3 linked regions of the Kluyveromyces lactis genome follow. The protein of the gene in region 2 purifies or fractionates together with the protein of the main gene of each other region. This does not show direct contact. Links are inferred from orthologs where the notes say so. Each region holds a gene or a part of one and is shown on either strand. Other genes may lie near its edges.

Region 1 (3,567 bases), on a different chromosome or scaffold from region 2:
TTCACAGTACTACCGTATCTATCGTTCGATGCTGATATTGAATTCTCACACAAATCGCTAAGGTTGGCCGACCCCTTGAATAATGAACTCGTCAAACCATCAGTTAACGTATCAACAAAAGCAGAGTTATTGTTGAAAGCCCTTGATCATGTCTTTTTCAGATCAAAATCTGGCACTAAACAAAGAGCTGCTGCGTTCACAAAGAGAATTTACATGGCTTTGCTGCACACTCCAGAAAAAACATCAATTGCACTGCTGAAGTTTTTGGATAAACTAACTACCAAATATCCAGAAGTACTGGGTTTATACTCTACAGACGATAGAATTGGAAATGGGGAGTTCCGCATCGACACAGACTTACCAAGTAGAAGTAATGCAGAAGCAGCAACTATATGGGAAAATAGCCTTCTTGTCAAGCATTACAGTCCTTCTGTTGTAAAAGGTGTAAGATCATTATTCCATAAATCTCAAGAACATAAATAGTTTGGGGGATAAAAAGATAATTAAGAATTCTCTTATTTACCACCTTCATTTCAATGCAATTGCATTAATTATAGTAATATATACTTACTGTAACAGTGTCTATAACTTGAAATTGATGTTACCAGATGCATTATCCTTCTTTATATTACCCTTAACATCAGTTTTGGCACCCTTTTTATCGATAACGGTTATGTTCTTGGATTTAGTCAAGGTATTAAGAACATCATCCGTCTTACTCTTCTTTCTAGGTTGTTCGGCTCTTTTCGCAGATAGCTTCGATCTCTTTCTCTTAGCAGCTCTACGGAGTCTGTTTTTATCCTCTCTGGACAGTTCATCTCTGGACATCACCACACCATTCTTCAAAGTTATTTCATTAGAGTTCTCTGATTTACCAACTTTGTAGATTTCCTGAGGAGCTAATGTGGAACCACTTGACATTGTTAGTGGTTGTGCATCTTCCATAGAAATAGCGGCGGTTTGCACTCTTACTTCAAGATCTTTCTTTATCGGCTTAGGTATGAAGTGGGCTGACGATAATGCATCTAGTTTGTAAACCAAATCTTTATATAGCTCTGAAATTTCATCGTGACTTTTCTGTAATTCTTCTGATATTTCAGTATCCTCGGTAACACCTTTGAAATCATCTTCATAAATTTCAGCTAGTGATTTTGATGACTTTACATCACTTAGTTCGAATCTTGGTTTATTATTGTAGCCTGAAATATCGCTGATAACCCTCCTCTGTAGATCGTTAAAATCTTCTTCCTTGATCCTTCTACGGATCATATTCTCGAGAGTTTCTGTTACCTCAGCTGTTATAACTGGCACAGGTTTGGCAGTTCTTTCGAACTCAAGATCTTCCGTTAACAAGGCATCTTCTGGCCTATCGCGAGCTTTTACTTCACCTTTTAACGCCCATTTCTTCTCAGCAACAGCTTCCTTTTCGAGGGATTCTATTTGTCTTTTTAGCTCAAGTTGTTGACGTTCAAAGGTAGATAATGGTTGTTCAGCAGTTTCTTCATCTGATCCCTGAAAATCATCGTCTTCGTCAGCAAAAAGATCTAACTTAGCTTCCTCCATTGCATCATCATACTCGCTTTCGTCAAAGGATTCATCCTCTTCGGCCTCTGCTTTCTTTGAAGGTCCTGGCCGCCTGTCCTGGGAAGATTTTTTATTAGATGGCTTATCAAAGAAATCGTCGTAATATAGAGCTTCTTCATCTTCCTCCGATGGAACATCTGCGAAATAATCAACTTCTTCGTCATCCTCATCTTCTTCATCTGCATCTTGGCTTCTATTCTCAGCCTCAAGTGTTTGTCTATTGAATTCATCTAGATTGAAAAATTGATCGTTTACACCAAACTTGTCTTCGATCGCTTGTGGACTTTCTTGTGCTTCTACAAATTGATCATCAGGTTCCGAATCACTTTCGTTTTCCAATTTATCTTCTTCCTTCTCATGTAATTCTAAAGGTTCTGGTTCTGAGAACTGTTGTTCTTCATCTAAAACGAGCTCTTCATTTTCTGCTTCTTCCTCCTCCTCTTCAATAGCAGACTCTTCAGAAACTGGAGCTTCGTCTGCAGACATTTCATTGGAATTTTCAACATTAGAGGCATCATCTTCGTCTCCGCTGCTTTCCTCGCTCATATCATTCTCATTATCAACCTTCAGTTCGGCGATTTTTTCCATGATATCACCTTGAACATTATCTAAAATGATTTTTGACTGCCACCATACCTGGTTAGCATCTAGCCCATCAACCACTATCTCATCTAATGTTGTCTTTGAATTTCCATTGTTTTTATTCAGATTGATGACTTCGTCAAAGTAAGTCTTCACTGCCGATAGTGGTTCCTTGGACTCCAGAGCATCCTGGGAAAGAAGTCCAACAGGATTAGTTTTCAAAATTTCCAAAAACTGACTCATGTTGTGTTATGTGTGGGTCAGTGAAACGTTACCTATTTACTGGTGTAGCTGTAGTGGATGTATCGATACGATCAAGCTGCTACTATAGACGCATATTTCGTACATGCTGAGTGATGCGATGAGATGAGTTTTCATCAATTTTTCAGGTATCCAAAAATTTGAAAAAGAAAAAAATGATGGGAACTGTCGCCAATGCGGGTAAGAAGAGAGATAATAGACACAGTTGTGAGGCATTGGTTGGGTGATGAATACTAGACAGAAGTACATATGGGTGAAAAGTCATTATATGAAGTGTGATTCCCTTAGTTTGGGTGCTAAAATTTTGCATAAAGACACGTAGATGCATATACAAGAATGAGGTGCTGGCAAATTCAACAGCATTTGTAGGTAATTCATGAGGTGAAGGAGGCGTATACTCCAAGAGTGGATAATACTGCACTAATTAATATCGTAATATTACACGCTATCAATTCCCAAGATTTAATGGTTTTGTAGCAAATTCTTTTGTAGAACAAACATGGCAGAATGAAACAAATCATGAAACAAAGTGCAGCACCCAAGAATGCAATTATTTTGTCAAATTCAGGGAATAAAATAGCAATAATCACGAACATAACATTCACCATGATTCTGTTAAATATTCTGGTTGCCTTTGCGAAAAAAACCTTCGATGCTGGTTTAGTTTCATCGATGTGCACTACGTTAAACATTGAATCAAAGATGGAGACAATCGGTCTTGCATTAAGTGGTGTTTTGGCAAGTGGAATCAGTGAAAGAAGAGTTGAAATTAGGCCATAAACAAAAGGCGGGTATCCTGGAGTCAATAACACACTTCTTGTCACTTCATTCATAACAAGATTACCGAACATTAAAAATCCAACGACAGCAATTCCGATATCAGTAACAATGGTGATGCTATAAGTGGTCTTCAAACAACGAGTAAACTTCTCCGGATGCCTCATATCACTCTTTAAGTTGGGAAAGACTGCGTGACCTCCCCAGCATGCACTCAATAACCCTAAGGAAAGACAAAACTCCTTGAATGAATTGGGCCACATCGATGTGGCTTCTGGTTGCAATAATGACCCTGGTGAATATTGTTTTAGCAACCCACAGAAAACTACTAACAATGCAGTTCCAATAGTCGAGATAATACCC
Region 2 (3,761 bases):
CCAAATGCTGTGATTCTAAAGCGTACTCACCAATGAATTTTAGAATTCTTGATACGTAAACCACTGGCAACTCGTGAGCTATCAATGGAATATCCTTTATTGGAATATTCTCATATACTCTGTGGATTAGATAGCCCTCATTTAGACGGAAAGCCATTAGTATGGCATTGAGATATTCCTTGTCATCTAAGCTTTGGATAACATTCTGTGGAGTCACATCGACGTCAAGATCGAAAGGATCAAAAAGAATAGTATTATCAACGGAATATACAAGTAAACCTTCTGTTGAACCGGCGGCAAATGCATTAGCAGTAGGAGAGAATCTTATAGACGTCACTCTGATCGCCGGTCTGACTCTTCTTGTCGATAAGTCACCTCCTCTATTCGAACCAGGAAGGCTGTTATCTACGCGATCTTCCAAGTCTGAATTTTCTGCATCTTGATCAATGAGATCCAAAGATCCTGCTTCTGTCATTCTACTTGAGTTTAAAAACTCCATGGTGCCGTTTAACATCATGTTTTTGGATACGGTAAATCTTCTTAGCAGTACTTCGTTTGGAATGTCATAAAGACATATGGAATTATTGTTACCGGCTGCAACCAAAGAGAGACCATCGAAACTGTAATGAATGGTGGTAAAATATTTAGATCTTGCTGAACTTTCTGATGTGAACCGATCTTCCAAATGTCTACCCGAGATTATATCCCTTTTGCCGTCAATATTTCCCACCTGTTTGCCCTCAGCAACATCAAAGAATAATATTTGCCCCGCTAGAGTACTTGCAGCTATTTGTTGACCATCCGGTTTCATAGAAATAGATAAAACATCAGAAAATACTTCAAAAGGCTCTACCTGTTGACTTCTACCGAAGAGAGACCACACTCTAATTGTTTTATCCCATGAAGCGGATGCCAAAACTCCATTCTCATTACTGAAAGATAAACAGGAGATAGGACCTTCATGGCCAGATAGTGTATCCACTAACTGACCAGTCTGTACTGACCAAACAAAAATGTCAAAGCTATCTTCCGACCCGGCACATACAACTTCTCCGCTTGGATCAACTGCTAATGAGTTGAACTGTATTCTTTCGGTCGCAGTGAACGTTCTGAAATTACGATATCTGATCAAGTCCCATGCTTTCACGGTACCATCCAAAGAAGCTGAAAACAAAACTTGACCTTTTTTAGCAAATTCTACTGCACTTACACCACCTGCATGTTCATCAAAAGTTGCCAAACAGAAACCTGACGCGACATCCCAAATCTTGATCTTACCTTCGTGACTTGCTGTGACAATCTTCGATCCATCTGGGGAGTAACACAATCCATTTAACGTATCGAAATGACCTTGTTGTTTTAGAATATATGACTCTGATTGCCATTCGTACACTATCAATTGCCCAAGTTTACTAGAACCGAAAGCCAACCATTCACCAGAACTGTTGATGGCAACCGTATTAACTGCATTTTGACCCATTGAAAGTTGTTGAATCATGATGAATTCTGGCAGTTCATAGAGTCGGAATTCACCGTTTGAGAAACCGACTGTTAATATGTTGGATGCAGCATGGAATGCAGAACACTTCACCTTTGCTCTGTTTGCATGGAAAAAATTCTTCTTTGTGATTCTCCAACTATATTTTGACAAATCTACATCTTCCTCATCTTCATCATTGTCTTCCCCTTCACCAGGCTTTTTGGTGTATTCCCATTGGAATAAGGCACCATCTTTACTGACCGTGTATATCTTTTCCTGGTCATCGCTGAAATATGCTCCGATAACGTTATCTCTATGTCCTGCAAAAGTCGTCGATGCAAGATTTTTCTCCTCCGAGTTAACTGACCATATCCTTGCCGTTAGGTCCTTGGATGTGGATATAATAAATCTTGAATCTTTTGACCATGTCAAGGAAGTTATATCAGAAAAGTGGCCGGCATGGATTCTATAACGAACAAAAGGTGCAAACTGTCTATCCTCAGTGGTCTCGGGTGTCCTCCATATTTGTAAGAATCTCCCACAAGCCAGCGCAAATAACTTGCCATCAGGTGAAAACTTCAAGTCATAAACCTTTTCTTTGAAGTTGAAATGATGCAATACGTTTCTTGTCTTAAAGTTCGCCAAGATACCACGACCATCGACATCAATGGAAAGAAGTAACGTACCTTGCTTGTTGATATCTACAACGGCAACGTTCTTCCTATGTTCATATTCGAAGGTAAAAGCAGTATTGTTGATCAAATCAAATACCGACACCCTATTACCTACCGGTGAAAGTAACTTGGAACCATCTTGAGAGAACAAGACGTTACCTTGCCTATAAACAGTTCCCAAAAGATTGGAAAACTTAAAATCAGACTTCATCCGTAACTAAACCCTTATAAAGCTCGTCTGACCTGATTCCTTCCAACTAATTGAAATTGAACAACTGATTATAATGCAAAGTCCTTACAAGTGACTGATAATCCGTCTGCACTTCCTGCTTGAACTCATCTCATCTCATCTCATCTCATCGCTCAATTTTTTCTCTTAAATTTTTCGAAATCCTGTATGCTGAATGAAAAAGAAAGGAAAACATATACAGCTTTAGCACGGAAGTAAAGAAAGAGAGAACAGAAACATGTCGGTTTTTGGGTGGATTGTCGTTTATGTCAGCACTTGAAACTTAGTATGAGTACTTCATTATAGCTGTTTTCATACTTTTACCAATGACCTTTTTATTTCATTTATTTTTGTACAATGTTCCTTTTATAGTGCAGATCCTTGCATTCTGAAATACGTCCGACGGGGTTTAACCATGGATATTTCTATCTTCTTGCTATCTTTCATTTTCCGGACAATCGTAAACAAACTTTTCATGAAATTCTAATATGTAAGATCAAACCATTCAGCAGAAGATTGATGAGATGAGCTGTATTAGGACTTTAATGATACATTAAAAATGTATTCCAGTGTCAATGATATAGTGAAGCCTATTTGAAAGCGGTAATAGGGGCACTAAGACGAAAAGGTAACAATGAGTGGACAGAAACGGCATGAAGTCACAGGCAAGTTATCCAATAGAGTGATGAACATGAAGTTCATGAAGCATGCGGAACAAGCAGACAAAGTTAAACAGACCGAGGAGACAATAAAGAAATTGGTGGACTCGTCAGAATGGAGGATAGGTGACAATGTAAAACTCTTGACAAAACTTGCTAATAAATCAAAAGTGGTACAGAACGTAGGTTTCTCTGCTATCAAGTCACTGAATGATGAGGATTCGAAGATCGATACAAACGATCTCAGCACAAGCACACTACGGACTAGTGTAAATGCAGGAAGAAGAATATTCGGAAATAAACTCGGACGAGCTACGCCCGGTTCAGATGGGAGTTCTAATGATAAGAAAAGAAGTTTTGAAGAAAAGGACGAGGACGATGTGTCGACGACAGATTTAGAAAAGCTATGGGAAGCCGAAACACAGACTAAGAAACAGAAGAAATCCAATGGTAATGGTAATACTGAGAGGAATAAGAAGAAGTCAAAAAGGAATAGAAATTAAACTTCATAGCAGGATGCTAAATGAGACACTAGTATTTGTATATTATTTTCGCCGACTTATATAATAAATAGAGTAGATCAAATTCCGGTAACAATACTCCATTCTATAAATGTGAACTATTTTGACCTCTTCTTACTTGAAGTAGAGGTAGCAGCTTCTGTGAAATGCCCCTTCAATATTACTTCTCTAGTTGTTGAATTTATATGCTTGAATCTA
Region 3 (3,041 bases), on a different chromosome or scaffold from region 2:
GATTGCTAATGCATTTTTTGCAGTGAGCTCGTTAGGCTTGAATTTCAACACAATGATCAAGTCCTTCCTTGCCTTTCTAAACTCTAGTAGCCCAATGTAAGACATAGCTCTGCGGTGATAGGCTTTCAAATTGTTATTATCCAATTCAATTGCACGTTTAGCATCGTCTAAAGAACTTTGGAAGTTATCCAACTTTAGGTTGGTGAACGCACGGTTTGAATATAGGATCGTATTCTCGGGATCATGCTCGATGGCTTTTGTATAATACTCAGCTGCCTTTGCGTACAGTTTCTCCTTCACGAACTTGTTACCTTCATTCTTCAGCTCTAAGGCTTTCTCTGGATTACAGGCTTTCACTTCCTCAGTCATTTATTCAATAGTAGTGGTAAAAAAGCAGCCAACTGGTATGGTATGTGCCTTTAAGTCCTCAAGACCGATAAACGGAGCCCATTTTAAAGTTTTTTCTGATGTGAGTCTTTCTCTTCTTGATGTTGACTTGTTGATTTTTTTCATCTCGATGTTTCAATATTACGGCGATGTGATGAGATGTAATGTGAAGAGATTTGCGAAAGTGAAAGAAAGTACTCAATTTGGAATTGAACTACTTAAGTTTTCTACTTGAAATTATGTATTTACCATTTTATGAAGGGTAGGAATGCTGAATCAGAACCTGATTCGAAAATTGTTTCAAACCTTTCGAATTCAAGAGCAGGTTGGATCTTCAGCTTTCTATTGGTTTCTGCTTGCAAAAGTGAATCGTAAGACCAATCTAAGAAATCTTCGATGTTGTAGCTTAACTTTTGGAAAGGTTGTTGGAAAATCTTCGCTAAAGTGGCTACGTTTGGATGGTAGTGATTCATTAGCGTTTCTAGCTCCCATACTGAGGAGGAAAGAGCATTTGTAAGTTCTGGATTGGTTTCTTCATTGTTGAATGGATCTAGATATTCTTGCCTTTTCTTTGAATCGCAGTCGATGTATTCTGGATCGTGTAATAGAATCATACATGTAGGATGCTTTCTGATTAGATTGTACACGAATGGTATTATAGAAACAATAGCACCTGGTGGTGCCGATACGGATAAACGTGCCAAACGTTTGATGAATGACGCTACCAGTTGTGCGGATAAATGTGTAGAAGATAGAAAGGTGTCCACTAATCTGAAAAATCTTGATCTGTACTTAACGTGCATTACTTCTGGAGTTAGAAGCTGATATAGTTTTGAGTAGAAATTTGGATATTCTAGGTTGTATTTTTTCATAAGTTCAAACAAACCATTTAATGAAAGGATTGAAACGATACCACCTTGGTTGTAAGAGTCGGTAAGGAAATCCATAAGCTTTGTTGGTTGATGGAACCATACTATAATTCTCTTGTGTAGCACTAAAAGCACAGTTTTATATTGGCTACTGGATAAGTTGGCTAAATTTAGACAGTGCAACCAATTTGTTTCGAGGTTGGATTTAAACTTAGCATCATTCTCGATGGCTTGTGGGGGCACAGATACGAATATTTCCAAGTCTGGTGATCCCTGAACATCGTTGTTGCATAAAGCCAACCATTTAGACATCAAAATTTCGTCAGATGTTTGGCCATCAAGTTCTGGTAACAACGATATCAGTTCTGATTGTGTGTAGAATTGAATATCGAAATTCTTCTTATAATAGGCTTCCACAAATAGATTAAACACGGGATTCTCGCTCTGACCATCTTTGAAACCGATATCACCTTCAAAGTTACAATGGAAAAGAGCCACTAGTAACGATCTTAAAGTCTTATTTGGAAAGAAAGGACTATTTGGTTTCGAAGCCCAATATATCGATTCATGGTGAAGCATTTTCATATATGAGTCCAAACAATCTAAACTCAACGAGTTAACTTCATGCAAAGATGTAATGATAGCCAATAACTTAACCTTATAATTTAAATATAGTTTCTTACACCATTCAAAGAATTTCTTTTCATTGGCATTGGATGCAAGATGAGGCATCAATTGACCACGCTCAAAAAGTTTGATGAAAATCTGACTCAAAGCAATGGTCATATAACGGTAATCATCTTCCAAATTGTGCAACAATTCGTTTTCCTTTAGAAGTTCATTGTACCCATGGATTAGGTTCACCAACGAGTTGTAATGTTTTCTATCATTGCCGGTGCTAATAGACTTCCAAACTTGCTTAATCTCTTCCTTCGAGAGCATCTTGGTTAATCGCTGTCTGAATCCTTGGGAAACTTTTATATGTGAATTCCAATTATTTATTGCGAGTAATCAAACAGATTATAACGGTGAGAATATCCTACCTTAACGTTTCCTATTCGACTTCATCTCATCTCATCTCATCTCATCTCATCTCTTGATTCCAAATTTTTCAGAGATTCTTGCAATGTAGAAGACAATTGAAAAGAAATTATTCTTATCACGTGATCGCATTTCCTAATAAACTAGCTATCAATGGCGACATTAAATATATAATTTAGAGTGGTAAACCATTCTGTTGTCAGTCAAGTCTTGCCTGCATCACCTTGAATACGCACACTGATGCTCGTTCCTTCAGGGGGTGCGTATCCTCCAGTTCACGGCAGCCTATGAGCCCTAACAGCATACAAATTTCAACGATTAGTATAAAATGATCTAGCCCGAATTTCATCATATATAAGAGAAAGATTTATGAACCAAGAAATTACAAGACACAATTGGTGATGTAGAAGAGATGTAACTTTGATAGGCTTTACTTGTATTACTCTTTTTGGGCTTAAATCCACATGACCTTCCAAGTTTTAAAAGAAGACGATGATACTATTTGCGCTTTTTTAATTCTTACAATTCTTTCGTGGATGGGAATTATTTTCTGTTCATGGTTTTAATGGAGAATGTGGTGCCCTCGCAAGCCTTATAATCTTGTTACATTCTTTGAATGATTTGGGACACTTTTTATAAAATTCTGATTCTTTTTGGGAAGGTCATCCCATGTATAGACTTGATGTGAGTTTGTGTGTTTGAGTCTTGCTTCTTGCTAATATGAATCGCCTTGTGCGATTCATT

Evidence for each region.
Region 1: the proteins of PWP2 (region 2) and MPP10 purify together in Saccharomyces cerevisiae (affinity purification with mass spectrometry, with the first as the bait; 7 studies listed by BioGRID). This does not show direct contact. The link is inferred for Kluyveromyces lactis from reciprocal best matches to the Saccharomyces cerevisiae genes PWP2 and MPP10.
Region 3: the proteins of PWP2 (region 2) and NOC4 purify together in Saccharomyces cerevisiae (affinity purification with mass spectrometry; 10 studies listed by BioGRID, with this or other methods). This does not show direct contact. The link is inferred for Kluyveromyces lactis from reciprocal best matches to the Saccharomyces cerevisiae genes PWP2 and NOC4.

Annotation. Positions count from the first base shown.
Region 1 is NC_006040.1:821,717-825,283, forward strand, and holds MPP10 (rRNA-processing protein MPP10), read right to left. Parts: upstream 2,410-3,567; coding exon 583-2,409; downstream 1-582. Other genes in the region: NOC3 (Noc3p), read left to right, coding at 1-483; AVT1 (Avt1p), read right to left, coding at 2,802-3,567. UniProt on the Saccharomyces cerevisiae protein: Involved in nucleolar processing of pre-18S ribosomal RNA. Required for the early cleavages at sites A0, A1 and A2 during 18S ribosomal pre-RNA processing.
Region 2 is NC_006039.1:783,140-786,900, reverse strand, and holds the start of PWP2 (snoRNA-binding rRNA-processing protein PWP2), read right to left. Parts: upstream 2,366-3,761; coding exon 1-2,365. Other genes in the region: MPP6 (Mpp6p), read left to right, coding at 3,018-3,545; YIH1 (Yih1p), read right to left, coding at 3,662-3,761. UniProt on the Saccharomyces cerevisiae protein: Required for bud-site selection and cell separation. Also involved in nucleolar processing of pre-18S ribosomal RNA.
Region 3 is NC_006038.1:953,276-956,316, reverse strand, and holds NOC4 (ribosome biosynthesis protein NOC4), read right to left. Parts: upstream 2,199-3,041; coding exon 633-2,198; downstream 1-632. Other genes in the region: PPT1 (protein serine/threonine phosphatase), read right to left, coding at 1-369. UniProt on the Saccharomyces cerevisiae protein: Involved in nucleolar processing of pre-18S ribosomal RNA and ribosome assembly. Has a role in the nuclear export of 40S pre-ribosomal subunit to the cytoplasm.